6 linked regions of the Sus scrofa genome follow. The protein of the gene in region 1 interacts with the protein of each later gene in a pairwise test. Links are inferred from orthologs where the notes say so. Each region holds a gene or a part of one and is shown in the gene's direction. Other genes may lie near its edges.

Region 1 (5,279 bases):
TAGCTCTGAAATACCGCAAAGAGGAAAGGGGAAATATCAGGATATATGTGATAAAGGGAAGGGGGACGTGTGTGCAGCCACGCACACATTTCACAAAAGTTTGCTTCTGGTCTCGTGAAGATTACTACTAGTCGCGAGGAGCAGACATCACCATGAAGGATTTTAGTTTTCCTAGATACTAGGAAATGCAAGAATTGGGCACATAAAATCTTCTCCTAAAAATATCTAACTGGAGTTCCTGGTGTGACTCTTGGCTTAAGAACCTGACTAGGGAGTTCCTGTCGTGGCGCAGTGGTTAACGAATCCAACTAGGAACCATGAGGTTGCGGGTTCGATCCCTGCCCTTGCTCAGTGGGTTAACGATCCGGCGTTGCTGTGAGCTGTGGTGTAGGTTGCAGACTCGGCTCGGATCCCGTGTTGCTGTGGCTCTGGTGTAGGCCGGTGGCTACAGCTCCGATTGGACCTCTAGCCTGGGAATCTCCATATGCCGCGGGAGCGGCCCAAGAAATAGCAAAAAAAAAAAAAAAAAAAAAAAAAGAACCTGACTAGTATTCATAAAGATGCAGATTTAATCCCTGGCCTTGCTCAAGGGGTTAAGGATTGGGCTTTGCTGTAAACTATGGTGTAGGTTGCAGATGCAGCTCGGATCTGGCATTGCTGTGGCTGTGGCATAGGCCAGCACCTGCAGCTCTGATTCAACCCCTAGCCTAGGAACTTCCAAGTTTCACGTGCAGCCCGAGAAAATAAAAAATAAGAAAGATCTAACTATCCGAAAGACCTATTCTTCCAGTTTTCCCATAGCACAGAGTGCCTCACTCCTGGTTTCCACCCTGAGCTCTGCTTAGTGGGTTCTGCAGGTCAGCAGCTGCCATGGCTCATGGTTTAATCCACGTAGAGGCAGATGGCAAGTAACCGTAAATGCGAAACTCCAGTTCACAAGATTTAACTTACATAAGTGACTCACATTATATTTCTAGCCTCTGAGACACTGCTGTCCCAGAGCCTACTCCGATTTGTTGTGCGAAATAACCAATGCTATAAGACAGATGAATGGGTGAATTAAGACAGACAGCCTGGGGAGTTCCCACTGTGTGCAACTGGTTAAGTATCTGGCCTTGTTACTACAGAGGCTCCATTCCCTGCGGTCTCCAGGGTTCAATCCCAGGCCCAGGAACTTCCACCTGCCTCCGGTGGGTGGGGGGCGGGGCTGGGCGACAAAAAGTCGGGTAGGGGGGAATACAGTCTCCGCCTTCCACGAGGAAAATGGATACAGCATTGCCCTAGAAGTTAGGAGATGTGAGTTCTGGACTTGGATATACTGTAAACACTGTGTAGCCTAGGACAAGCACCGCCAGACTACAGGCATCAATTTGTCCATACATCTGGCACTTGATCTCTGAGGTCTAGGAGTAAGCGGCTAAATGGCAGAGAAAGGCGGGGAAGCCTGGTACAACAGGACTTGTTTCCTATCAGGCTCCAACCTAACATGAGAGCTTGGACCAAGAGGAGGAGACAGCAGGAATCAGAGACTAGACGCCCCGAACCCAGCGCGGGTACCACCGGCTTCCTCGGGCCGACGTCACCGGGGCGCGACGGCGTCTTCTGTCGGGTCCCCCACTCCAGGCAGCAGCGCCTCCGACGGTCCCTTCGGTGAAGGTGAGTGCCGGAATAACAGAGAGGCAAACGGTCCTCGAGTCTCTCTGAGACTCCGATCTCACTCCACCACCCTCTGCTGCCCTCCCTTTTACTTCACCCTTATCGGGCACAGGAGCCGAGAGATAGGAGCAGAGCTACCATCGTTCAGAGCCGAACCTCAGCGCGGCTGCGCAGGGCACGTGCACATCCTCTCGGAGTCCCGGCGATTGGCTGTGACGTAACTTCCGGTGTGAGCGGCGAAAGCCGGGAGGGCGAGCGAGAGAGAGCAGGCAGCAGGCAGCAGGCGGGCGGACGGACGGCACGAAGGGAGGGAGCAAGTGAGCAGTGAGTGGGCCAGCGAGAGCGGCCGCGTCCCGAGAGCAGCCGAGATTCCTCCCGTCCCTCTGACCCTCTCCCCGGAGCCCACAGCGCCTCCGGTCTCCAGCGGAGCGGACACGGCCCGGCCCGGCCATGGCCTCGTTGCTGAAGGTGGATCAGGAAGTAAAGCTCAAGGTAGGGGTACGGTCCGGGCTTCCTTACTCCTTGCTTCGATCCTCGAGCTGTCTGACTGGCTCCCTACTCCCCATGGCGTCTTTGTCTCCCTGGGGACACCAGCCCTGAGCTTCCGCTCGGCTCAGCCCAGCCCCCCACTCCCAGAGATGGCATCGGGGGAGACGCTACTATGGGGTGGCCTTCTGTACCCTGTCTAATGGTGGAGAGCCCCGGGGAGACTTCCGCGGACACGTGGTGGACTTAGTGCTTTAGGCCAGTGACAGCTGGAAGTCCCCCCAGCCCAGCAACGTCCCCATCTCTGGGCGCTGCTACTGCCCCTGCCCTTGGCGTCAGGCCTGCCTCACATCCTAGGCCAGGTTTGTATGGGGGTTGACATGTTTGTGAGCTCACGCCTCTCCCATCTACCTGTCTTTTGTCTGCTTTCAAATTCAGACAAGCTACAGACAAAGGGAGGGAGGGAGGGAAGACAGGTGGGTGCTGCCCTCCAGCCCCGCTTCCCTCTCCTGAGATGGAGAAATGGATCCTTAAAAAAATAAAGTATTTGCAGTCTGGGGGCCTCTCAGCTTCTCATTACAATTACAAGGTGAGGGAAAGACAGTTGGATTTGGGTTTCCCCATCCTGCCCATACTTCTCTTGCCAGGTACTGACTTGCTCTTACTGAATTGCTTTCTTTGTTAATTTTAGGTTGATTCTTTCAGGGAGCGGATTACAAGTGAGGTGAGTGAAAGAAGTAGAAAATCGAGCATTGGTTAATGGTTGGGAGTTCTCCAGAGAAGAGATGTCTGTAGAGACAGACCTTCCCTCAGTTACTAATTCAGCTATATTTTCCCTCATCTTTAGGCAGAAGACTTGGTGGCAAATTTTTTCCCAAAGAAATTGTTAGAACTTGATAGTTTTTTGAAGGTGAGAGACCCTTTTCTTTTCCTCAGAGTCCCCAGTTTTTTTGGCCCTGGTCTTTCTGTCAAATGGGACAAATGACGTGTTGATTCTATCTTGTTTTGTGCTGTAAAGCCGTCTTCATATGTTGCCCTTGAAATGAAATACTTCTTTGTTCATTTTGAAAAGACTGATGTTTTGGGGGTGGGCGTCTCTTTTCAGGAGCCAATCCTAAACATCCATGACCTAACTCAGATCCACTCAGACATGAATCTCCCAGTCCCTGACCCCATTCTTCTCACCAATAGCCATGATGGACTGGACGGTGTAAGTATCCTGTATTTATCTCTGTGTGTGTGCCGAAGCAGTAGGCGCTCTGTCCTCAAGTCTCTGGTCAGCTTGAACGTGTACAGGGGTACAGGGGACAGTGGGATTTGGATCTGGGAATGAGGATTCTTTTTTTTTTTTTTTTGGCTTTTTGCTATTGCTTTGGGCCGCTCCCGCGGCATATGGAGGTTCCCAGGCTAGGGGTTGAATCAGAGCTGTAGCCACCGGCCTACACCAGAGCCACAGCAACGCGAGATCCAAGCCGCGTCTGCAGCCTACACCACAGCTCATGGCAACGCCGGATCGTTAACCCACTGAGCAAGGGCAGGGATCGAACCCGCAACCTCATGGTTCCTAGTCGGATTCGTTAACCACTGCGCCACGACGGGAACTCCCGGAATGAGGATTCTTACAGACATATGACTTTGGTACACCCCCTTCGGTCCCCGGTTTTCATTTGTAGCATGTGTTAATGGGTACTCTGTTAGAGTGAGTTGAAAATAGGGCTAATAGTGACAAGGTCCCTCAGGTTACCTGGTCTGTCACCATGGCTCTAGGCAAGACTTTTCATCCCTGTTTCAGTGTCTTGAGTCTTGTTATGGGAGGGGGCAATTGTTCTTGCTATATAACTGCAGTTCCCCGTCTTTCTGTATCTTTAGCAACTAGTCTTTAGAATATGTCCACATTCTGTTATAACAATGATGACCCCATATTGTTATTTATCTGCTATATATATTGTTATTTATCCGTCGGTGTCTCATGGGTAGAACTTGCACTTTTGGAAAGGAGAAACTATCTGAATTATCTTTGTATCCCCAGCACCTAGCATTGTTCCTTGCAAGTGCTAAATACATGTTTGTTGATTGAATATTCTTTGTGGAACAAGCACATTTGTTTATAATCCCCTTAGTTATACTCACTCTGCATTCAGTAGTTCATTCTTTCTGTTGTTCATAGTATCCACCCCTCCCCTGGTTGCCTAATGTGTTATATTTCTTGAAAAGTTGGTCTTTCCAACTATAGTGTAAGTTGCTTTGTGGGAAGAACCTTTTCTTAAAGCTTTGTGTGTGCTTAGTGAATTGTGGGTAAATTAATAAGACAACCTGTGAAGTCAAGGTAGGGATTAAACTTGCTAGAAGGGTAACTTGCAGTGGGGATGTGAGTGTCGAATAGGCTGATTCTTGTCTCTTTGTATCCTTAGCCCACTTACAAGAAGCGAAGGTTGGATGAATGTGAAGAGGCCTTCCAAGGTAAGAGCCACCTTCACTGTCCCCTACCCCAACCCTTCCTGGCTTGCAGCCCTGAGAAGCAGGATGGATCTGGTGCTCTCCTGTCCAGCAAGCAGGATCTGATTTTATTTCCTAGCATTAGCATTCCTAAGCTCTCCAGACATTGTCTAGTACTCTAAACCTAATTTTCCTTTCCTCTTTTTTTGTCTTTATAGGGCTGCACTCACGGCATATGGAGGTTCCCGGGCTAGGGGTCTGATCAGAGCTGTTGCTGCTGGCCTACACCACAGTCACAGCAATGCCAGGTCTGAGCCGCATCTTCGACCTACACCACAGCTCATGGCAACGCCAGATCCTTTAACCCACTGAGCAAGGCCAGGGATTGAACTCACAACCTCATGGGTCCTAGTTGGATTGTTTCCACTGTGCCAGGACTGGAACTCCGTAATTTTCCATTTAACAGGGAGGGTTGGACTTAATGTGAACTACCAAGGGAGAGGTTGGAGGTGGCTACACATCACAGATTTTTCGCAAAACCCCAGTTCATATCATTTTTTCCTCTTCAATAATGCTTGGTGCGTTAAGTCTGTAGAGCATATTTTAATCTTGTTCTTTAGACTTTCCGGATGTTTTAGACACTCATCTGTTAATCCCCATATTCTCTCTTTTTTTAATTCTGTTGGTGGTGTCACGGTTTA
Region 2 (4,523 bases), on another chromosome or scaffold:
TATTCCATCGTTGTTGTTTCTAATGTGGAATCACAGTGGATCTTCATATTCTACATTATTGCAATTTGATTTTCCTCCTGTTTAAGAATGTGTAGATTCCTAAAATGCCAGTTTGGGGGATGGAGTGGGATAGAATTCACATTTCCCATGTACTTGAGTAAAAATAATTCTTTGCCATTTTCCCCAAGCTCCCTTTTTCTCCATTTATTCCAGATGTCCTATGCGGACAACTAACCCCTCCTTTAGATGTTGTTTAACCGCCCCCCCAGCCCCTGCCCTGCCCCCCAGCAGCTATAGAGAGAAAGACCCAGGCACCTGGAGGATGTAAAGTGGCAACAGCTTAGGAGCATGGGGAGGGAGGGCGGGGTCAGCCTGGTTCCTGTATATGGCAAGGGGTGATGTGCATTCTGGTAGCTTTCGGCCAGAACCAGAGGTTCAGAACATTCAACTTATTTAGGGGCAAGAAACCCAGTTAAAAGCTGAAGGGAGAACTTTTGCAGAGAGACTCTTTCGAAGCTTTGCCCAAGGCAGCACTCTGATCACAGAGCCCAAAAGATCAGGCAAAGTACTCTTTATGAATTTGTGTCATTGCATGTCCCAACCCTATTCTGGAACATAATAAGTGCTTGGTAACCAGTGATAGAATGAAAGGGCCTGGACAGGGAGACCTGGCAAGCTTTGTGCTGAGGAAAGATTGTTGTCTGCCCGTTCAAATCCCTGTCTTATTACCTGTCGCCTTTGGTGAGTTACATCATCCCCCTTTGCACCTTAGTTTCTCAGTGTAAAATGAAGAGGTTAGATAAGTGGTCCCTAAGGTCCTTTCCAACTCCGAATTTTTACTGTATGAATAAGGAGTTAAGGAGCCAGGCAGTTTCTGATTCCATACAGGGAATTAAATGCTATATTTGGCAAATTGACTACCTACTGGGTGCTGACTTATGACTAGGCACTGAGAATACAGTCTTGAACTAAACAAGTAACATTTATTGCCCTTCTGGAGTTTAAATAAATAGAGGAAAACATTGCCTTTATTTTAGAAAATCAGGGCAAGCCTTCCTAAGGAAGTGACCTTTGAGCAGATTTAAAGGTTGAATAAATGAAAGGGAGGAAGGGGATGGGATGTTGCACGCAGAGGCTTTGTTAAATCCCTCAAGAAAGAGCTTATGGGTCTGAGAGAAGGCCAGTGCCTTCTCTTCCACGGCCTGCAGAGCCCAGGCGAGTGCAGCACGGTAAGATTTTCTTCTTTGGCCTTAGAGCCATGGGTCAGGGTTGAAGGGCATAGGCAGGTAAGTGACAGGATGTGCTTACTCTGAACCCACCAGGGTAACGAGCTGCCCTTGAAGATGCTCCATAAGTTAACTTGGTGTGTTTCATTAATCATCTCAGTGGTACTTTTGTGGTGTCTAGGGATCCACACCACCGATGACTGTATTCAAGGGGAACAAACGACCTTACCAGAAGGACTGTGTGCTTATCATCAACCATGACACTGGTGAATATGTGCTGGAGAAACTCAGCAGCAGCATTCAGGTCAAAAAGACAAGGTATGTGAATAAGCCGGTGCAGATTGGTGGGATGTTTGTGTAGCTTTACATATGATGTTTTTTCCTTATGCTCCTTAGTTATTTTATCAGGATGCGAGCATTTGGGTACCTAGTGCCCTGTGGCCATTCTCAGCAATTCCACCTTGGGCAAGTCAGTAAAATGTCTTCTCCTCAAAGGCAGTAAAAGGAAATAATGCCTTTAGGATCTGAAACACGAGGCCATTGGGGAATGGAGTATGCTTTATGATTAAATCAGTTTTGTCAATCTCATGTCTGTTGACACAATACCTTCTAAGGGATAAGATTTAAATTTACACATTTAGAATTATGAAAGAATAATTGAATAATCTTTTTTGGGATGGAAAAGTTTCATATATTCTTTATTAGAATGAAAACATTAATTTTTCACAAGATACACTTGAGATCATTATAAGACCAAAATAAAGCTTTGTCCAATATTTTGGAATAGTGAGCTCTGTTTAGCATTTAATTTAACAGGCACTACACATTTCATATAAAGCCAATTAGATTTTAAAGTCAAAATTCATCCTATAAATAGAAGTAACCCAGTGGTTCTATTGTTATATTTTTTTTCTTTGTCTTTTTTTTTTTTTTTTTTTTTGTCTCTTTGCTATTTCTTGGGCTGCTCCCACGGCATATGGAGGTTCCCAGGCTAGGGGTCTAATCGGAGCTGTAGCCACCCGCCTACGCCAGAGCCATAGCAACTCGGGATCCGAGCCACGTCTGCAACCTACACCACAGCTCACGGCAACGCCGGATCCTTAACCCACTGAGCAAGGGCAGGGACCGAACACGCAACCTCATGGTTCCTAGTTGGATTCGTTAACCACTGCGCCACGATGGGAACTCCACTATTGTTATATTTTGATAACAGCAATAATAATTAAATTTTAAGGAGTGTTACAGTCTGATGTTTTTTTCCTTATGCTTCCTCGAGCCTTTCTTCTTTACTTATTCCACAAAAAGTAAAAGCAGCTACCATTTATTGAGGGGTTATCACCTGCTGTGCATTATGCTAGGTGGTTTTTTGGTTTGTTTGTTTTGTTCTTTTGCCTTTTTAGGGCTGCAACTACGGCATATGAAAGTTCTCAGGCTAGGGGTCGAATAGGAACTGCAGGCCACAGCCTAAACACCAGATCTGAGCTTTGTCTTTGAACTACACCACAGCTTGGCAACGCCAGATCCTTAACCCACTGAGCAAGGCCAAGTCCTCATGGATACCAGTTGGGTTTGTCACCACTGAGCCACTGAGCCACAATGGGAACTCCTATGCTACGTGTTTTACGTGCATTGTTTTACATAATCTTTACAGATAACTTTTAGAAAGGTGGTATTGGGCCTTTAAAAAAAATTATAATGTATTTAATGGCATTTAATACACTCAAAATATTGTACACCATCTTTATCTAATTCCAGAACATTTTCAGCCCCCCCAGAAGAAAACCCATACCCATCAAGCAGTCAGTCCTCACTGCTTTCCCTCAAAGGGACTTTCCCTACCTTTTCCTTATTTTTTTTCCCCCAATAAATTTGATTGGAGTATAGTTGGTATACAAAGTTTTGTTAGTTTCAGGTGCACAGCAAAGTAAATCAGTTATACATACACATATATCCATTTCTTTTCAGATTCTTTTCCCATATAGGTTATTACACAGTATCGAGTAGATTACACTGTGCTATACAGTAGGTAAATGTTATCCTTCTGAAGAGACCAAGGATCAGTGCAGTTGTGAGTTACCCAAGTCAGGGCCAGAGCTCCATCCCGGGGGACAGTGCACTGTATTGGTCCATTGATCCTCCATGAATCAGGTGGGACACCTCTGAGCGCTGATGGTTGTGTTTCTGTTGCTGCTCAGTGTCAACTGGAAACTAGCAGTGTTTTATCACTTAGGTGTTTGTTCAAAGTGCAGAATTTCAGGGCCCACTGAGTCAGCCTGGACTTCAGTGAAATCCCCAGGGGATCTCTGTTCCCAGCAAAGTTTGAAAAGTGCTGAGCCGGCCCAGTAACAAATGGTTAATGAGTAGAATTTCCTTGGCTTGGGGTGGAATGCTCTGCTTGTCTGCCAGCAGGAGCTGGTACGTGACAAAATGAGCAAGCGGTAAATAGATAATAGAAAAATAGTGCAAACAGGCCGGTATTTCAAGAGCAAGTTTCCTTTAACAAGTCACTCATGTGTGACTGTAACTTTACATGGTGTGCACAAGTCACATAGTTGGATTTTCTATTAGTAAAATGGTTTCTCACAGTCACAATATATCCTGCCTGTGTGTCTCATCTGCTGTTTGTAAAACGTGAACTCCTTGGAGGCAGCGAGTCTATTTTACTCATCTCTGTATCTGGTGCAGGAGGCAGTACTGGAATGCATTCCTGTGATAAAATGACAAATACTAGTATTTGAAGCTGTCTGTATGGAGCCAGGGGTTCTGCAAAGACTCCCATGTGTTTGGTCACCTGGGCACATTTGAGAACCACTATTTTTGCCCCTCCAATTTAATGTCTGTATCTCACTTCAGAGCTGAGGGGAGCAGTAAAATCCAGGCCCGAATGGAACAACAGCCCCCTCGTCCCCCACAGCCATCACAGCCGCCGCCACCGCCTCTGCAGCCACCACCACCACCACCACCACCACCACCTATGCCGTTCAGAGCTCCAACAAAGCCGCCAGCTGGACCCAAAACATCTCCTTTGAAGGACAACCCCTCACCTGAGCCTCAGCTGGATGACATCAAAAGAGGTAGAGAGCATTTTCTAGAGCCATGAAAGCAGCTTGCAGGAGGGTGTTGATGTTTCATGGCGATTATAAGGCTGCCAGTCGTGGTGACATGGGCATTCTCTGCCATTGTCACAGTTTCCACAGAGCTCAAAATTCTGCACTTTGAGCAAAGGGGCAGGGGCTTTACCACTTACCTCCTTTAAAACAGTGACTTGAGTTGTGGCTGTCTTTGCAGCTTTCTGTT
Region 3 (4,098 bases), on another chromosome or scaffold:
GGGGGATGATAAGCTGGCCCCCCAGTGATAACTCACTTTGAGCCCCTTCTCAACTCACAGCAAGGATACAGTGGGTTTGAGGGCTGGTGCCAGGGCCCACAAGTAGTGAGATTCATCAGGCTCTGCTCATTAATCTCCAAAATATACAAACAGCTCATGCAACTCAGTAACAAAAAACCAACCCAATCAAAAAATGGGCAGAAGATCTAAACAAACATTTCTCCCAAGAAGATATACAGATGGTCAACAGGCACATGAAAAGATGACCTAATTATTACAGAAATATAAATTAAGGAGTTCCCGTCGTGGCGCAGTGGTTAACGAATCCGACTAGGAACCATGAGGTTGCAGGTTCAATCCCTGCCCTAGCTCAGTGGGTTAAGGATCCAGCGTTGATGTGAGCTGTGGTGTAGATTACAGACGCGGCTCGGATCTGGCGTTGCTGTGGCTCTGGCGTAGGCCAGTGGCCACAGCTCCGATTAGACCCCTGGCCTGGGAACCTCCATATGCCGCGGGAGCGGCCCAAAGAAATAGCAAAAAGACAAAAAAAAAAAAAAAAAAAAGAAATATAAATTAAAACTACAAGGGGGTATCACCTCGCACCAGTCAAAATGGCCATCATAAAATCTACACATAAATGCTGGAGAGAGAGTTCCCTGTCATGGCTCAGCAGTTAACGAACCCAACTAGTGTCTATGAGGATACGAGTTCAATCCCTGGCCTCATTCAGTGGGTTAAGGATTCAGCTTTGCCATGAGCTGTGGTGTAGGTTGCAGACATGGCTTGGATCCCACATTGCTGTGGCTATGGCACAGGCCAGCAGCTACAGCTCCAATTCGACACCTAGCCTGGGAACATTCATATGCTGTGATTGCGGCTCTAAAAAGACAAAAAAAAAAAAAAAAAAGAAAGAAAGAAAAGAAATGCTGGAGAGGGTGTAGAGAAAGGGAACCCTTCTACACTGTGAGTGGGAATGTATACTGGTGTAGCTACTGTGGAGAACAGTGTAGAGGTTCCTCAAAAACTAAAAATAGAGCTGTCACAGGATCCAGCAATCCCACTCCTGGGCATATATCACAAAAAAAAAACTATAATTTGAAAAGATATATGCACACCTATATTCATAGCAGCACTATTTACAATAGCCAAGACCTGGAAATAACCTAAGTGTCCACTGACAGATAAATTGATAAAGAAGATGTGGCACATATATACAATGGAATATTGCTCAGTCATAAAAAAGAATGAAATAATGCCATTTGCAGCAACATGAATGGACTTGGAAATTCTCATCCTAAGCGAAGAGAACAATAAATGCTATACGATGCCATGTATATGTGGAATCTAAAATATGATGCAAATGAAGAACTTATCTACAAAATGGGATCAGACCCACAGACACAGAGAATAGACTTTTGGTTGCCAAAGGGGGGAAGAGGGGAGGGATGGACTGAGAGTTTGAGATTAGAGGATGCAAACTAGTATTTATAGGATGGATAAACAACAAGGTCCTACTGTATAGCACAGGGAACATACGATATACAGTAATAAACCGTAATAGAACCCCCTACCCAGATTTCACCATTACACATTAACTCCTTTGACCATTTTTTTTGTTTTTGTTTTGTCTTTTTAGGGCCGCACCCGTGGAATATGGAGGTTCCCAGCCTAGGGGTCGAATTGGAACTGTAGCCACCGGCCTACGGCCTATGCCACAACCCACAGCAACACCAGATCCAGATCCGAGTTGCATCTTCGACCTACACTGCAGCTCATGGCAACGCCAGATCCTTAACCCACTGAGTGGGACCAGTGATCGAACCTGTGTCCTCATGGATACTAGTCAGATTCATTTCTGCTGAGCCACGAAGGGAACACCTGACCTTTTTTTTTTTTTTTTTGGGGGGGGGGGGGTCTTTTTGCCATTTCTTGGGCCGCTCTCGCGGCATATGGAGGTTCCCAGGCTAGGGGTCGAATTGGAGCTGTAGCCACCAGCCTACGCCAGAGCCACAGCAACACGGGGATCCGAGCCGCGTCTTTAACCTACAGCACAGCCCACGGCAATGCCGGATCCTTAACCCGCTGAGCAAGGCCAGGGATCGAACCCTCATGGTTCCTAGTTGGATTTGTTAACCACTGCGCCACGACGGGAACTCCCACCTGACCTTTTTTTTTTTTAAGAAACAAATTCCCTTAGGTCGCTTAGAGTCCCTTGGGTCATCATATCTTTGGTGTGAATGGTATGTTTTTTTCCTTGGCCGCACCCACAGCACATAGAAGGTCCTGGGTCAGGAATGGAACCCGCACCAGACACCGACAGGAGCCATAGCAGTGACAAGACCAGATCTTAAACCTGCTGAGCCAGCAGGGAACTCCTCAATGCTATTTGTTTCCAAACTTTTCCTATGTAGGTTTTTGCCTTCTGTGCTCCAGCTACACGGAATTTCCCTCCTCTAGGCCTTGGAGCACGCAGATCTCCCCCCCCTCCCCCCCGCGGAAGCCGTCCCCATTTTCTTACCTGTCCCTTTCTCCAGGAGGCCTGCCCGGTCCACCTCGATCTGCTGGGGTGCCTGCACCATGGGCTCTTGCCGCTTTCCGGACAATAACACTTGCTACGTGTTCCTGGGGGGCTCACTGGTCTGCCACACACACCCAGTCCTGACACGCAGAGTAGGTCTGTGGAATGAGCACTCAGGAGTCCATAGACTCCCCTGGAGATAGGCTATTGGCGGGCGCCCATTTCCCGGATTGGGAAGACGGTGGTCACCAACGTTAGTGGCACGCCCAGGTTAGGCCCTGGAGGCCGGGCCGTGCGCACCTGACGGCCGGCTTGTCTGTCTCTCCCCGGCAGGGCGGATGGACACCTTCAGCACCAAGAGCCTGGCCCTGCAGGCCCAGAAGAAGCTGCTGAGCAAGATGGCGTCAAGGACGGTGGCAGCCGCATTCATCGATGACACGAGCAGCGAGGTGCTGGACGAGCTGTACCGCGCCACCAAGGAGTTCACTCGCAGCCGCAAGGAGGCCCAGAAGGTGGTCAAGAACCTGGTCAAGGTGGCCGTGAAGCTGGGCGTCCTGCTCCGCGGTGGGCAGCTGGGCGCTGAGGAGCTGGCGCGGCTGCAGAGCTTCCGCCAGCAGGCGCGCCGCTTGGCCATGACCGCTGTCAGCTTTCACCAGGTGGACTTCACCTTCGACCGGCGCGTGCTGGCCGCCTCACTGCTCGAGTGCCGGGACCTGCTGCACCAGGCCGCGGGCGCGCACCTGACCGCCAAGTCCCACGGCCGCATCAACCATGTGTTCGGCCACTTTGCGGATTGCGACTTCCTGGCCGCGCTTTACGGCCCCGCCGAGCCCTACCGCTCCCACCTGCGCAGGATCTGCGAGGGTCTCACCAGGATGCTGGACGAGGGCAGCATCTGACCTCCGACCTGGGTCTTCCCGCTGGGGGCGGGGCTTGCGGGCTTTTTTAACTTCTTTTCTCCCAGTTTGACTCTGGCCAACTTCCCCCCAACCCCTTCCCACACGTACACACACGGGTGACCTGTACCTTCTTGGGGAACTCAGGTCACCTCGGCTCCGGCCCAATCTACATGGGGAGAACTCAGCCTGGAGCCGGGCACAGCCTGCCTGCGCCAGCGGCCTCCCCGCACACCTGGAGACCCCTGTCCCTCGGGTGCACCCTCTGAACAGTGACCCTTGAGTGACCCATCTGTACCCCTCAAATCACTCGGTGTCTCTGAAAGCTGGTGGCTTCCCACTTTAATGTTATTGCCTGGGCTTTTTCATTCCTACAGAAAGGGTCATGAGGGACCAGGAGAAAGGGGATGTTATGGAGTGAGCTATGTCCTTGCCCCCAAGTTCTTCTGTTGAAATCCTAACCACTGGGCCCACTGATTATGACCTAATTTGGAAAGAGGGTGATTGCAGATGTAATTAGTTAAGATGAGTTCATACTGGAGCAGGGTGGGCCCCTAAGCCACTGTGACTGGTGTCCCTGTAAGAAGGGGACATTTGGACTCAGACACAGAGGAGAATGCTATGTGAAGATGGAGGCAGAAATTGGAGGGATGTGTCAAGGAGACAAGGAATGTCAAGGATGGC
Region 4 (5,074 bases), on another chromosome or scaffold:
CTTAAAAGGCAAATAAGCCATTATTTTAAATGAAGCCAGACCCAAGATACTCATGAGTATTACAATGACATATTGGGAATGGAGATCAACTATTTAAGGAGGCCTCACGGGTGAAAAATATGACAGCCAACATGAAGCTGCTGAAAGGCAAGCTATGAATCCCAGCAGGCAACTACTCTTCCAGGATCTCTGTTCCCTATGGAAGCCGAGAATCACTTGAACTTGGGACCAATGAGATGAAGTAAAATGCACAACAGTGTAATCCTGACCCCTCATCTCCCTAAGCCAAGGTTTCCAGCCTTTTGGGAAAAGGCTGGTAAAAATACTAGTAAGCTCTAAGCCTTGGGAAGGTGGCAATACATACCGAGGTTGCAGGAGACACTGCAGAGGTGGCCACTGGTCCCACCGGGCACTTGAGTAGCTGAGACTGCCCCGTGCAGCTCAAGCTCTTCTTTAATAGTCGTCCTTTCCTCCTTTCAGTTTCCTTTTAGAAAAAGACTTCTCTCTTCCTTCCTTGTTTATCCCACCCTTCACTACTCACACATAGGAGTTTCTTATAAATCCCCCAGTTTCTCAGAAACGCTTAAGCCTCTTGACCCAACCTTTTTGATGGGACTGTCCAATCAGAGGTGGGTACAGGAAAGAGTGCGGGTGGAGACCAGTGAAACCCTCTTGGGAATCAAGATATTAGCTGGTCATTGCATCAGCCACCCTCTATTCCAAGCTGGCCTCCTAAAAATCTCCCTGCCCCCTTTCTGTTCCTCCTTCTTAGCATCAGTATGAACAACTGTAATGAAAACTGTGTTTTATGTGTAGTCCTGGGGGGCAGAAAGGTGGGCTGTAAATTCCTTGCTGCTGTCGTTCACGGGGGCGGCGCAATGCAGTGGAAAGATCATGAGTTCTGGGGTCAGATCTGAGTTTCGATCCCAGTTTGGGCACCTTCTTGTTTCAAGACTTTGAGCAAGTCACATTACCTCTCCGCTTCATCCTCCGCTTCCTCATTTGTGAAATGGGCATAAAGAAGCCTCCTAACTTTACCGTGGAGGGGACTAAGTGCGATACTGCAGGCAAAGCCCCTGTCACATGGCAGACACTTGGTAAAAGTCGGGGCCTCCCTCCTTAGGGAAAGGGCAGAGGTGGGAGACGAGGAAGGGTCGGCGCCCGCGGGAGTGGGCGACAGGCCGGGTCGGCGGCGCTGGGAGGAAGGGGGCGAGGGGCGCCCGGGCAGCCTCCGCGCCCCCCGTGCTGCCAGAACCCGGCGGGCAGCGAGGCGGGCTCTGAGGAGGATACTCCCGGCCCCGGCGTGCCGGCGGCTCCGGAAGGCCCAGGTCATCGGGCGCCACCCTGGCTTCCCTCCCTCTTTCATCCCTTCACTTACCGGCCCAGCCGGGCCCGTCAGCACTGCCGGCTCAGCCACGGGTTGCTGCTTGGGCGTCCGTGGAAACGCCGTCCGGCCGGAACAACTTCCGGATCGACTGCGTCATCATTGGCTGTGGCGGCCAGAGGCCGCCGCTGATTGGTTGGGGCCCCGGCGTCCGCGGAACGCGACTGGGCGGCGGAGTGCAGGCCGGACAGCCTCCGGGAGGACCGAGCGCTTCCGGTGTGTGTGGTGAGCGGCGGGCCGGGCCGGGGGACGGGAGGGGACGGGACCTGGCTGGGGCCCGAGTGCTCCACACTCTTCCGCGCGAGCCTTCGCCGCTGTTCGCCTGTTCTACATCTCCGGTTCTGCGTCGCGCAGTGCTCTGGACGATGCTCACCTCCTACTCTTGGCAACCTGGCTAACTCCTATTCATTCTTCAAAACCCACCTCTGGTCGTATCTTGTTTGTTGCCCTCATCAGTCTGTGGCCTCCGGCGCAGGAGGTGTGTTTTGTGTTTAATGTCTGTCCATAAAACCTAATATAAAGCTTGGCACAGTGTAGGTAATCAGGAAATGTTGAATGAGAATATCTTATCCCTGTTGCTTTCTCTGTGCCCTCCTCCCACCAGGTTGCATTTCACAAATATCTGTAGATGCTGGGGATCAAACAGTGAACAACACACAAAAAAGTCCTGCCTGGGTGGAGCTGACATGCAGGTGACTGTCATTGCCGCTCCCCTCTCCTGTAGCCTCATTTCTGCTAAGACCTGACTTTTTCTTCCAGCTGTTCTTAGCTATTTTTATTTTTAATTTTTTTGTTCTTCTTAGTTTAATCACTCCCTCTTTCTATGAAAAAATGTCCTTTCCCCACTTTTGCCTGTTTAGGCAGCAGTTTCCCTCTAAAGTTTGTTGTTGTTGTTCCCAGTGGCTCCCGATCACCTCCGTTTTTGCCTGTTTTCCTTGACTCATTCTTGCCTCCATCACTCTTACCCAATTTGATTAGTTTTGTTGTTTCGGTCTTCTCATCACCTCTACTTCCTCACCTCCTCCAGAGCGTTGCCTTCTGCCCTAGGCCTGCCTTGATCTCATCATAGGAAACAGCCCAAGCCCACCATCATGCCGACTTTTCTGTTTTACTTTCCTCCTTGGGATTTCTCATCACTGGACATCCTTTGTTTCACCTGGTCATGGTCTGTCTTCCCCCGCCGTGCGTGAGCATGATGAGCTCAGGGCATTGTTCACTTTCTTGTTGGCTGAGGTGTTCCTGGCGCCTGGTATGGGGCTCGGGAAGTAGCCCATGCTCCTTCAATGTTTACTGAATGACTGAATGAAATGTACATGAAGCAGATGCTGCTATGGTTCATCTACCTGCATTCATTCAGTTCTTGCTGCCTTGCCTTGTGGGGATCTTCTCACTCCGCTGCTCTCTGATCTTTTGCTGTAGGTCTCATTTCTAATTCTGGCCATCGACCTCTCCTGTGAGTCGACATCTGTGGACAACTGGGTAGGTAGGAATCCATTCTAATGGCTGAGGACAGGTGCCTTGGTGCTGGTAACCTAGTGGGTTCTCTTTGGAGGGATGGAACGGGATGCTGTGGTGGGTGATGCTGTGCCCAGGAGTTGAGACAGGTGAGATGTTTGATCAGGATGGGCTTCAGGAACAGAGCAAGTATTTAGAGAAAAGAAATGCCAAATCCTTTGCAGTGCAGTGTTCTATTAATTTATAATTTGTCCATTATATTTGTTCCATTTGAGATGGGCTGGCTTGTGATGGAAGTTTTTTGCTTTTGTTTTTTTGTGTTTTTTTGCTTGTTAGGGCCACACCCATGGCATATGGAAGTTCTCAGGCTAGGGGTCCAGTTGGAGCTGCAGCTGCCGGCTTGTGCCACAGCCACAGCAACGTGAGATCTGAGCCATGTCTGCAACCTACACCACAGCTTACGGCAATGCCGGATCCTTAACCCACTGAGTGAGGCCAGGGATTGACCCTGCGTCCTCATGGATACCAGTCGGGTTTGTTATCGCTGGGCCATAACGGGAACTCCTGTGATGGACGTTTTATTTAGACAATGGCTCTGTGTGTAGAAGGTGTTACCTGCCTGGATTGGACTGTAGGTGGGGGTGGGATTTTTGGAGGAGGCAGACCACTGGCATTTTTTGGATGTTGGTGTAACTTATTTGGCAATGGAGCCCTTCAGGCAAATGCTACTACCCTTTTTGGGAAAGGCAGGGGAGGGGTGAGATGGTCGCTTCCAGGGAAAACCACTGTCCGGGGGAGATGGGGGTGATAGATAGGCTGTCGGAATGGCGTAATTGAGGACCCACAGGGAGTCTTCAGGGATGGAAGAGGAGCTCAGGGTGGCGTATTAAGGTAGGGCACGTAGGCTTCCTCTGAAGTGATATGCTGCCTGGGCTCTCAGTGCTGCTCCACCGCGCCCTCTGCTGTCCAGGACATGTCCCGTATCCTTGTTTTCCTTGAGTGTCCTTGCTTCGTGCTAACCACATAGAATTGAATTCCAGAAGGGGGTACGTCTTTGGGGAAACTAGCTGGCTACAATTTATCATGTATAATGATTCAGAATTCCGGGCATGGTTTTTAATGTTTACTTAACATTTTAAAAAAATATAATTTAATTATTATTATTATTATTATTTTTTGCTTTTTAGGGCTGCACCTGTGGCGTGTGGAAGTTCTCAGGCTAGGGGTTGAATCAGAGCTGTAGCTTCCAGCCTTTACCACAGCCACAGCAATGAGGGATCCGAGCCGCGTCTGTGACCTACACCACAGCTCATGGCAACGCCGGATCCTTAGCCCACTGGGTGAGGCCAGGGATCGGACTTGAAACCTCATGGATGCTAGTTGGGTTCTTAACCTGCTGAGCCACGACGGGAACTCCAGGAAGAGTCTTTTAGGAAGGGGAAATTCACTGTCGTGTGAATCTGTGTGTTTGTCGCACAACTGCTGGATTTGGGCCACACCCTCGAAATTGGGTGGACTGATGCCTCAGGCACCTGGGCCTTGTGTCCTGGGTCTGTCTCTCCCACTGGCTTGTAGTCAGGATGGGCTGTCTGGGGAAGAGCATTCTAGGCAGATTGAACAGAAGGAAGGACTAGAGCAGAAGGGAGAGGGTGAAGGCGAGGGTGGCATGCTTTTGCCATGTGGTGAGGCCTGGTCATCTTTTCATTTCAGTATTTTCAGACCTGACCTCATTCATGCTGGTGAATGTATGCTCTTCTCATGTGTTGCTCAAAAACTGCTGCAGGCTCTCTGTACCCCCAGCTTTGCCCAAAATGTGCTAGTATTTGTGTTGGACAGAGTTCTAAAGTGGGATTGTTGCAGTAAAAACTGTGTGTGTTCAGGAGTTCCTATTGTGGCTCAGTGGGTTAAGGACTTGACATTGTCTCTGTGAGGATGCAGGTTCCTTCCCTGGCTTCCCTTAGTGGGTTAAGGATCCGGCGTTGCTGCAAGCTGGGGTGTAGGCCTCAGTGCAGCTCCAATTCAACCCCATCCTGGAAACTTCCATATGCTGCAGGTATGGCCATAAAAAGAAACAAAAGCAACCCCCAAACTATATGTGTTTGAATTTGGTGTAGATGTTGTCCAAATTAGCATTCCAAAAGGCCTCCCATTTTTTTTTTTTTTTTTTTTTTTTTTTTGCTTTTTAGGGCTGCGCCTGCAGCACATGGAGATTCCCAGGCTAGGGGTCGAATTGGA
Region 5 (5,136 bases), on another chromosome or scaffold:
GTGAATTACTACTTGCGTCCCTCAGAAAGCTTGTCCTTTTAACCAAGTGGTGATATTCTTGCATTACTGAGGTCACTGATTTATTTTCCAGGAGTTGATAAAGCAAGAGAACGCCTTGCTGCATGTTAGATAATTTGGAGGCTATTACATTTATTTTGGTGTGTCTCTCATAACAACACCCAATGCTCCGCAAACTTGTTTTTTGTATTTTTGCTCCCTGTACATTCTTACCACACATTTTTTTTTTTTGACTTCAAAAGAATGACATCTTTAGAACTGTTTTAGAGCCAAGGATGGTATATGTTTTAGATAATTACTACATTGTTCTAAATATAACCATGTAGGAGTTTCCTCTTGGCTCAGTGGGTTAAGGATCCAGTGTTGTCACTGCTGTGGCTTTGGTTACAGTGGTGGAGCAGGTTCAGTCCCTGGCCCAGGAATTTCTGCATGCCATGGGTGTGGCCAAAAATTAAAACAAACAAATATAACCATGTAATTTTTTTTTTTATTTTTAGGGCCGAACCTGCAGCATACGGAAGTTCCTGGGCTAGGGGTGGAACTGCAGCTGCTGGCCTATACCACAGCCACAGCAATGCAGGATATAAGCCCCATCTTCAACCTACACCATAGCTCATGTCAACACCAGATCCTTAACCCACTGCATGGGGCCAGGGAAACCCACATTCTCATGGGTAGTAGTCCAGTTCTTTTTTTTTTTTTTTTTTTTTTTTTTTGTCTTTTTGCCATTTCCTGGGCCGCTCCCACGGCATATGGAGGGTCCCAGGCTAGGGGTTGAATGGGAGCTGTAGCCACCAGCCTATGCCAGAGCCACAGCAACGTGGGATCCGAGCTGTATCTGAGACCTACACCACAGCTCATGGCAATGCTGGATCCTTAACCCACTGAGCAAAGCCGGGGATCGAACCCACAACCTCATGGTTTCTAGTCAGATTCGTTAACCACGGAGCCACGACGGGAACTCCAGTAGTCCAGTTCTTAACCCAGTGAACCGTGCAGGAACTCCTAACCATGTAATTTCGAATTTAAATAAATTTCTATGCTGAAATAAAAAAAGAAAACACGGTCACACCTATGATTATGCACAAACTTGTACACGAATGTTCATAGCAGCAATATTCATAATAGGCAAAACATAAAAACAATTCAAATGTCCATCAGTTAATGAATGGATAAACTAAATGTGGAATATCCAAATAGTGGCATATTATTTAGTACTTCCTTCAGAAAAAAGAATGGAGTTCCCTTGTGGCACAGGAGGTTAAGGATCCCAGGTTGTCACTGCAGCAGCTTGGGTCACTGCTATGGCAAGTGTTGACTCCTGGCTTGGGAACTTCCATATGTGGTGAATGAGGCCAAAAAAAAAAAAAAAAAAAAAGAAGAAGAGGCCATTGCAGCATTCCCGTTGAGATATGATGGTAGGCTGGAAGCAGAGAAGATTGAAGAGAAGTAGAGAAATTTCAGATTTATTCGTGAAACAAACGGACCCTTCCCGATGCTGGAGCGGGAAGAGGGGAAGGTGAAGGAGAGAGCCATCAAGGATCACCTCCGGCGTTTCTGCTTTGTGCAATTCGACAGATGGCGGAGCTATGTAGTTGATACAGGGAATCCTAGGAGAGATTAGAAATCTCTGTATTTCTCCCAAGAATGTTTCTTTACTTTCTATGGACGCTGACAGAGGCGGCAATATTGAGTTTTAGGGTGAATATCGGCAGCTCCCCGCCCTTCCTTAAGCTGTGTATATATATCTGTACAACATTTATCATGGTATATTTACTTTATAAGGTGTGGCACCCACTGGACTAAGAGCTCAGAGGTCAAGGGTTGAATTTCCTCTAGGTACTCACGAACTTGCTCTGAAGCTGGCCCCGCCCACCCATAGCCCCGCCCCCAGGCATTTCCGGCCCGCTCGCCCTCTGCACCGGCCTCACCCCAGAGCGCCCAGCTCCGCCCCCACTGCAACCATTGCCTTTTAGCCTAGTGGGGACTAGAGTGATTGACGAGCATGTTCTCCAATCCTAAAGCCCAATGTTGTTATATTACCAATTCGGAGGCAGCAGAGGCGGATGCCAAAGCCTAACGTGAGAGGGTGATCGGGAAGTGAGAGTGGAGGCTGCGGAGGACGCCTCCGCCCAGGCGGTGGTATAAAGCTGACGGGACGTCAGTATTCTGTTCCTTTCTTTCTCCATTCCTGGGTGAGACGCCCCTTCGTTGCTGGGGAGCCGGGGTCTCCACTTGCCTTTTTTAAAGGGTAAGAGGGTGTGTCTAACTATATAAGCGTTTGAGGATCTTTCCTGAGCTGCCTTACCTCCTTTCGCCTCCAGGCAGGTCCTTCTGTTAGCCTGGGGTGCGGGGTCCTGTCTCCCGTCACCCATCCTTGGGGATGGTGAAGTTGTTTCAGATCCCTCCGCAGCCTATGGTGGTTAAAGTCTTCCGGGCTCGGTCAAGGAAAGGGAGAGGAGTGATGGGGATAGCGAGATTCGCGCACTCAGCCCCTCTCCCGAGGAGTTAGAATCCGCAGCCAGAGCGAGTGGAAGGTGGAGGGAAACTAGGTATTGGGGGCGAAGGAGCGGGTGGAAGGAGACATTTCTTATGTAGCGAACCTGTTAGTTCCCTGGGAGCCTACAGTGGGGCAGGAGGCGTTGAAGTTGGGCTTGGTGTCTAAATCACCCACCCACTTCTGGGCCGTCAGCTTTTAACCTTCATTTCTTTCTCCTCAGGCTGGTGAAAACCCCTGAACATGTGGAATCCCAATGCCGGTAAGTGTTTGGGGAGAATCTCTTCTCCTGCCCCAGTCCCTTTTCGGATGGGCCACAACAGGAAGTTTGTGTCCGTTTCTCCTCCACCTCTGCCCTAACCTACAAAAAAGCAAAGTCCATAGCTGCCCAGTGTCTTCCCCCAGAGTTCACTGTCTCCAGGGAACGTTACCTTTTCTTTCTCTTGTATAGGTTTGTCTCCCCTCCCCTCCATGCTCCTCTTTCTTCAGCTTTACATTTTTTCCCCCCTAGGGCCACACCTGCGGCATATGGAGGTTCCCAGGCTAGCGGTCCAATCGGAGCTGTAGCTGCAACTGCGCCACAGCCACAGCAACGCGGGATCCGAGCCGCGTCTGCGACCTACACCACAGTTCACTGCAGTTCCTTAACCCACTGAGCGAGGCCAGGGATCGAACCCACAACCTCATGGTTCCTAGTGGGATTCGTTAACCACTGAGCCACTACAGGAACTCCTCCATTTTCCTTTAAGTATTGAGTGAAAAATGGAATCCCCTTCTTTTTGTTGTTTGTTGTCAGAAGCTCTGGGCAGTTCTAATCTTAAATTTATTCTTTGCTTTTTCCACCAGGGCAGCCAGGGCCAAATCCTTACCCGCCTAACGTTGGATACCCTGGAGGTTGCCATCCTACCCATCCACCATCTGCCAACCCTCCCTTTCCTCCAGGCCCCCTTCCCACTCCTCCAGGAGTGCCCCAGGGGAATCCAGCTTTTCCCCCTGGCGGGCCTTGTTATCCTGTGCCACAGCCAGGGCATCCAGGATGCCAGCCCTCAGGTCCCTACCCACCACCTGCCCCTTGCATGCCACCTGTGAATCCATTGGCTCCTGGCATGGTAGGACCAGGCATGGTGATGGACAAGAAGATGAAGAAGAAAATGAAGAAAGCTCATAAAAAGAAGCACAAACACCACAAGCATGGCAAGGTCAGTGCCCTCTGGAGCCTGGCTAGGAAGAGGTGCCCCCTCAGAAGGACTAGGGTGGCTGGAGGTGGGAAGAGAGGTAGGTGGCAGGGACAAGGAATGGGGATTCACAGTCTGAGGACTTGGGACAGGGCATTGTGTTACTCTGGCAGATGGTGCTTCCTTTTTGTAAAGGATTCCCACTGCGAAGAATTTAATAATCTTGAAAATAATTATTAGGCTAATTGGGCCTTCTGTCTGCCAGGGGCTATGTTGAGCCTTAGAATGGCTATCAGAATCAGGTGCTTTTCTTTTTTGCCTTTCTTTTCCCAGAGCTTTGGCCTCCCCACCCCCATGCTTGTTCTGGCAAGTGGGACACACCCACTGAGGTGGTCAAATGTCAAGACCTTTGGCCAAGCAAAGTCTTATGTAATGATAGATAATAATCTGGTCCTAGTTCCTGGAATTTCTTTCTCTCCTTCACTGTTCTCAGCTTGTTGTATTAATTACGTAGGTCTTCTTGTCCAGCAGGGAAACTGAGGACAAGAGCAGTCAGTGACTCAGGCTCCAATAAAACCCTCAATTTCGTGCTCAGTCTCAGGCTAAGTATCTTCATGCCAGAGGAGTGTAAATTAGCAAGTAGCTCTCAGGACCAAGTAGTAAAAGTAGCTCTCAGAACCAACTCTGGAAGAATTGAACCAACCTTGAGATATTTAAAAAAAATTTTTAGGGCCACACCTGAGGCATATGGAAGTTCCCAGGCTAGGGGTTGAATCAGGCACCACAGCCACAGCCATGCTAGGTGCAAGTGGTGTCTGCAGCCTACAGCGCAGCTCACAGCAACGCTGGATCCCTAACCCACTGAGTGAGGCCAGGGATTGAGCCCGAATCCTCATGGATTCTAGTTGGGTTTGTTACTGCTGAGTCACAACAGGAACTCCCTTTTTTCCCCCTTCTTCTTCTTTTTTTTTTTTTTTAATTTTTAGGGCAACCTTGATCTTAAGGAGGCCTTAATTTACATTTTTCTGCTTAGCAAATTTTTTTTTTTTTTTTTTTTTTTTTTGTCTTTTTGTCTTTTTTGTTGTTGTTGCTACTTCTTGGGCCGCTTCCGCGGCATTTGGAGGTTCCCAGGCTAGGGGTTGAATCGGAGCTGTAGCCACTGGCCTACGCCAGAGCCACAACAACGCGGGATCTGAGCCAAGTCTGCAACTTACACCATAGCTCACGGCAACGCCGGATCATTAACCCACTGAGCAAGGGCAGGGACCGAACCCTCAACCTCATGGTTCCTAGTCGGATTCGTTAACCACTGCGCCACTACAGGAACTCCTGCTTAGCAAATTTTTTTGCCTTATGTATGGCTTTGGGTGCTAGTCCTGGTTCTGGATCTTTGGTAGAAGTCTGAGGAGAAGGAAAGGTGAGATTGAATGGAGAGATTAAAAAATG
Region 6 (5,037 bases), on another chromosome or scaffold:
ACAATTATTATGTAAAATACATTAAATGCCAGACGGATGACACAGCTGATAAGAATAAAGAGAGTCAAAGGACTGGGCTTATGCCATTTTCTATAAAGTAAACAAAATAATAATTCCTACCTCCTAGAGTAATTCAAAATTTGGAAGAGAAGGCAGCCACCAAGAATGGTCCTAAAGCGTTGCATGACAGTAAAGTCTCAAAAACAATAACCATTTGGAGAACGTTTACTGGATGCCATGAATTGTTTAAAATGCTTTCAGGCATTAACTAATTTAATCCTCTCAACAACTCTAAGGTGTAAGTACTACCTCTTCCCCTAATTTTAATGACAAACATACTTACTTTGGTTTGCACAAGGTCACAATGTAGAGCATGAAGCTGAGGTTCAAACTCATAAAAGATTCTGGCTCCAGAACTCAGGTGCTTAACTACCACAGGAAACAGCTTTAGTATGCTTAAAAGAGTATAATTTACACAAGCAGATAGGTTGAGGGGGACACATTTATCTACTTGCCTGGAATAATAAATTTGGCAAAGGAATAAGTTAACTAAAGAGTAGTCTGATTATACAATTACCCTGAAAAACCACCAGTGTTATGGCAACCATTTGTAAACTTTCTCTTGAGTGTTTCTCTTCTCATACAGCACTTCTCTCATCTCTACCCTTAAACTCACGAACTTTTGACAGATTAAAAAAAAAAAAAAAGACAAATTATTTTTCAATTATTAATGTTATCACCCTGTAGCCAGAGCAAAAGCTCTGGCCCTGATCTTTTGGGAATCTTGTCTTTCGTGGGGGCCGTGTCGTTACTGCCTGCACGCATCACTGTGAAGAAAATAAACGAAGGCAACCAAATGCAAACCAGCCGCAGGGGATCCTAAATATCTGTAGTTCCTAACTCTGAACTCTTTTTCCACTCCCTCCAACCCCCAACTCCTACTCCCCTCTGGGACCTGACCATTGGGACCCTGCTCTGGAACATAAGGTCAGAAAACTCTTGCTGAGGTAACGGCGTCGCCTCCAGTCAGATCCAAGGACCACGGCTCGGTGGGCACTGGTTCCTTTACTCAGGATTCTAGATCCAGCTTCGGCGCTACCAGGCCTCGGGCACGACGCCGCGCCTGGAGTCCAGGTTCCGCCCCTCCCCCGCCTCAGTTTCCACACCAGATCTCCACAGAAAGGCGTGGAGCAGGCCGATTCTCCTTTTAGAGCTCCTGCAAGTCGGGTCACTTGGCCCATAAGCTTGGAGTCCAGGCCTCCCGGCACCCTGGACATTCTCCTTCCCTAGCCGCCGCCTCACGTAGGCTACCTCGCTCCGTTTCGCGTTCCTCCTCAGCAGCACACAGCTCCTGCCGTGTACCTCAGAACCATAGCCTCCCGGGGCTGCGTGCGTCCCAACGTGAGAAGGGGGAGGGGCTCGGCTGCGGGACCCGGAGCCTCGGGGCCAAGGGGCGGGCACTCCTAAGGCGGCAGCCAATCAACACGCGAGAGGCATCCTGTGGGGGCCACGCTCCCCGGGCGCGGGGCGGAGTCTTTTTTGGCTGCGTAGGCGGCTGCAAGTGCAGATGTTTCAGGCTGAGTTGGCAGCTGGTGGTGAGCGCTGCTGGCGGAGGCAGTTCAGAGACCGAGGAGAATAATGAATGGAGCAGGGAGACCCTCGCGTATTGACAGCCGCGAGCGGGTTCTCAAGTTAGGCGAGAGTTTTGAGAAGCAGCCGCGCTGCGCCTTCCACACTGTGCGCTGTGAGTGAGGACGACCCCGGGGGAAAGGGGGAAGCTCTGGGTATGGGGGTGCGAAAGAACAACCCTCTCCAAGTCGTGTTCGCACAGACTGCTGACTCTGCGGGAGAATGGGGTGCCCAGCGCAGTCCACTGCCATACCCCGAGTCCGGAAGGGTCGGTGCAAGCACCTGGGTGGAGCAGGTGTGGGTAATTCTGGGCAGAGAGATTTAAGTGAGACCAACAGGTAGGAAGGGCCACTTGTGGAGAAAGGCTGCGGGGTGACTATGGATGGAGAGAGACGTAACTGGCGGATCATGCAGAGGTGGAAAGGAAAATTCAGTAGACCCTTGAACAAAGCAGGGAATAGGGGCGTCGACCCCAAGCAGTGCAATATCCACGTATTCCTATCTCTGCCTCAAAAACGAAGGAATTGATACCGGACTCACCTAAGAAGCTGAAACCTTTTGGGTAGAATCAGGACTCTTAACCTAGTTCTTTTAATTACCTGTGTTGTGATCTCTAATCAGACACAAGCATTTCCCCACACTACGTTAAAGATCTGAAGATGAAAATATAAACTATTTATTGAAAAAAAACCCACGTATAACTGGACCTGCGCAGTTCAGACCCGTGTTATTCTAGCGACAACTGTAATAAGGTGACAAATGGAGAGGGCAAGGGCCGAACTATTATTATGCAGGAGGAGGTGAATGCCTTGAGGTTGGTGGGGAAATGTTCTTTCCTGTCTTCATTTTTGATGTCTCTGACTGATGAGGGTGTTATTTAGTGTGTTCCTGGAGAGAGATTCTGGATCATTCTAATAATCTGTGTCTCTTTTGGACCCCCAATTTCATTCAATCAGTTTTCAAATACTATCAAAGTTTTGAAGGGTGTGTTATTAATATACTAGAAAGACATTTACTGCTTATGATTTCTCCTTTTGTTTGTCCTGGGGAAGTAGTTTTGATATACTTCTCTTTCATGTTGTTGAGGTAGAAATTGGAGCTCTTTTACTTTAATAGTTGGATGGTTTAGATTCCAGAAAGGAAAAGATAGTATATTATGATTTGGTATGTAAAACATTCATTCTTTACATAATAGTCCTCATAGAATTACAGAGTGGGAAGGAAACTTTGAGATCATCGAACCATAAACCTCTTATTTTTCTGTGGCAAAATTGTAAAGTAGGTATTTTTTCACTTCCTCTTCCTAGCCCTGCCCTTCCTTAGTCTCATCCCTCCACCTTTCTCATTCTGTCTTTAGACTGTTCAGAGATCTTTGTTGTTGTTGTGCTGTTTTTTTCTGAAGTGTTTCATGTTTCAATTAGAACACTCAATTAAAACTCACGTTTTCCAAGTTTACTTAAGTTATACACAATCTAATTATTACTAACTCACAGTAAAGGTTTGAAGAACCAATAGGTTTAACTCTCTAAGGCTATATTTACATTTTTAAGAGGGGTTTTATTAAGCAGAATTAATATCCAATTGATAGAGTAAACAGAGGAGATATGTGCAGACAGATCTTTGTGTACCTTGTTTATTCTTTATCATAATTTGTGGTCCAAGGCTTACCACAGTGAGACAGCTGTGCAGTTTCTCTGCTTCAGTCCCATTTTCCAAAAGTATGATATAGTTCTTATCTGGTTTCTCCATGCCTTTCTCTCACATAATATCTTCCCTCTCCTTTCCTCTTCTTTCTCAGGTATGCATTAGTCTTAGTATTAGTTTTTTTTTTTTTTTTTAACTACAAGGTTTTAGATTATACAAATTTGCTTGAGAATATTTTTTCATATAACTTGGGTATAAGGTCTCTTTTTAAGGGTGAGCCCCCAAATAAATAAATAACAAACAGCCTTTGAAAAACACTTTATAGGTGCTTCAAGCCTTTTATTTACAAAAATTTCCCAAATGGTGGAATTGTATCTTCAGAATTAGAGAATTGGATGATCCAATTACAAGAATGAAAATAAACAAAACAACAACAATAACCACACTAAACCTAGATGTTTGAACACACTTCTAGTCCTGTGGCAGACATTAGAAAGGTTTTCAACCCTTAGTTTTAGTCTTCTTTTTGAAATAGACAGAACCTTTCTAGATTTATTAAAATAAAACCAGTCATTGTCCTTGAGATTAGGTTCATTTTACCATATGATCCTGACTCTTATGGACTCAGAGTGAGGGATGGTAGATCTGACTTTCATACAGGGCAGGTGAACCTAATTAGTTTTTTATTTTTAAAAAAGTGTACATTTCTAATTGCAAACAAAAGTTTATTTTTATTTTAATTGTCAGCATTACATATAAAGATATATTTTTCCTCACGAAGATTGAAAAATAACTTGTTTCTATTGTTTAAAAATATATTCATGTTTAAGCTTCATAATGAAGTAGAACACAAATACATATATTAATTTCAACTTTTCTATTTACTTTGTAGCTTTAGACAATTCACTTTAAGTTGCTGAGCTCATTTATCTATAATGAAGCAATAAATTCAACCAGTGTATCGTTTTTTATTAAAATTATGAAATGCCCCTAAATTGATAGATATGTGAAAAATACAGTTTTTTCAGTAGCAATTTTACATAATGGTTCCAGCTTTCATTCATTCACTAAATGTAAATATCGTTATAATCTTTTTAACAAGTAAGGCTCTGAAGATACAAATGATAATTTGTAAGGATGGTTAAATATATTTTAACATGACATTATTGTTGAAGCATAGTTGACATTCAATATTATCTTCGTTTCAGGTGTACTACATGATGATTTGGCATTTGCATGCATTATGTAATGATCACCATGATAAGTTTAGTAGCCATCTGTCTCCATACAAAGTTGTTACAATATCATTGACCATGTTCCTTATGCTGTATATGATAACCTTATAATTTATTATATCACTGGAGGTTTGTACCTCTTAATCCCTTTCAGGGTGGACCTAATTTATAACAAACACTCAAATCAGTGTTACCTGGGAGAAAGTAGTATTCTATCTTTAGGTACTTGGGTAATGATGATTATTCATTTGCTGAGGCTTTGGAAAAACCTGGTTTGAATTCTGGCCTCCACCACTTAGATACATATTGTAACTTTGGGAACATTCTCTAACCTCTTAGCCTCAGTTTTGTTGTATGTAAAAATGGTAATAATATCTACATTTCAGAGTTTCAGAATTAAATAAGATAATACCTAGCACAGTATTTGGTGCATGGTGGAGGTTAACCATTATTTATTTATTTATTTTTTGGGTCTTTTTAGGGCCTTACTCTCAGCATATGGAAGTTCCCAGGCTAGGGATCAAATTGG

What was found.
Region 2: the proteins of PSME3 (region 1) and EAF1 interact in binary tests that used the Homo sapiens proteins (3 or more experiments, as listed by UniProt). The two-hybrid records come from large-scale screens. The link is inferred for Sus scrofa from reciprocal best matches to the Homo sapiens genes PSME3 and EAF1.
Region 3: the proteins of PSME3 (region 1) and TNFAIP8L1 interact in binary tests that used the Homo sapiens proteins (3 or more experiments, as listed by UniProt). The two-hybrid records come from large-scale screens. The link is inferred for Sus scrofa from reciprocal best matches to the Homo sapiens genes PSME3 and TNFAIP8L1.
Region 4: the proteins of PSME3 (region 1) and WDR25 interact in binary tests that used the Homo sapiens proteins (3 or more experiments, as listed by UniProt). The two-hybrid records come from large-scale screens. The link is inferred for Sus scrofa from reciprocal best matches to the Homo sapiens genes PSME3 and WDR25.
Region 5: the proteins of PSME3 (region 1) and PRR13 interact in binary tests that used the Homo sapiens proteins (3 or more experiments, as listed by UniProt). The two-hybrid records come from large-scale screens. The link is inferred for Sus scrofa from reciprocal best matches to the Homo sapiens genes PSME3 and PRR13.
Region 6: the proteins of PSME3 (region 1) and EAF2 interact in binary tests that used the Homo sapiens proteins (3 or more experiments, as listed by UniProt). The two-hybrid records come from large-scale screens. The link is inferred for Sus scrofa from reciprocal best matches to the Homo sapiens genes PSME3 and EAF2.

The regions. Positions count from the first base shown.
Region 1 is NC_010454.4:20,032,173-20,037,451, reverse strand, and holds the start of PSME3 (proteasome activator complex subunit 3), read left to right. Parts: upstream 1-2,105; 5' UTR 2,106-2,106; coding exon 2,107-2,148; intron 2,149-2,641; exon of another isoform or gene 2,642-2,656; coding exon of another isoform or gene 2,657-2,731; intron 2,732-2,833; coding exon 2,834-2,866; intron 2,867-2,989; coding exon 2,990-3,052; intron 3,053-3,247; coding exon 3,248-3,352; intron 3,353-4,553; coding exon 4,554-4,602; intron 4,603-5,279. UniProt on the Homo sapiens protein: Subunit of the 11S REG-gamma (also called PA28-gamma) proteasome regulator, a doughnut-shaped homoheptamer which associates with the proteasome. 11S REG-gamma activates the trypsin-like catalytic subunit of the proteasome but inhibits the chymotrypsin-like and postglutamyl-preferring (PGPH) subunits.
Region 2 is NC_010455.5:2,657,123-2,661,645, forward strand, and holds part of EAF1 (ELL-associated factor 1), read left to right. Parts: intron 1-1,407; coding exon 1,408-1,544; intron 1,545-4,079; coding exon 4,080-4,300; intron 4,301-4,523. UniProt on the Homo sapiens protein: Acts as a transcriptional transactivator of ELL and ELL2 elongation activities.
Region 3 is NC_010444.4:74,205,612-74,209,709, reverse strand, and holds part of TNFAIP8L1 (tumor necrosis factor alpha-induced protein 8-like protein 1), read left to right. Parts: intron 1-2,851; coding exon 2,852-3,417; 3' UTR 3,418-4,098. UniProt on the Homo sapiens protein: Acts as a negative regulator of mTOR activity.
Region 4 is NC_010449.5:121,236,675-121,241,748, forward strand, and holds the start of WDR25 (WD repeat-containing protein 25), read left to right. Parts: upstream 1-1,524; 5' UTR 1,525-1,609; exon of another isoform or gene 1,610-1,862; intron 1,863-1,988; exon of another isoform or gene 1,989-2,076; intron 2,077-2,088; exon of another isoform or gene 2,089-2,863; intron 2,864-5,074.
Region 5 is NC_010447.5:18,658,766-18,663,901, forward strand, and holds the start of PRR13 (proline-rich protein 13), read left to right. Parts: upstream 1-2,048; 5' UTR 2,049-2,269; intron 2,270-2,325; exon of another isoform or gene 2,326-2,570; intron 2,571-2,738; 5' UTR 2,739-2,758; coding exon 2,759-2,777; intron 2,778-3,361; coding exon 3,362-3,790; intron 3,791-5,136. UniProt on the Homo sapiens protein: Negatively regulates TSP1 expression at the level of transcription. This down-regulation was shown to reduce taxane-induced apoptosis.
Region 6 is NC_010455.5:138,678,106-138,683,142, reverse strand, and holds the start of EAF2 (ELL-associated factor 2), read left to right. Parts: upstream 1-1,535; 5' UTR 1,536-1,638; coding exon 1,639-1,744; intron 1,745-5,037. UniProt on the Homo sapiens protein: Acts as a transcriptional transactivator of TCEA1 elongation activity. Acts as a transcriptional transactivator of ELL and ELL2 elongation activities. Potent inducer of apoptosis in prostatic and non-prostatic cell lines.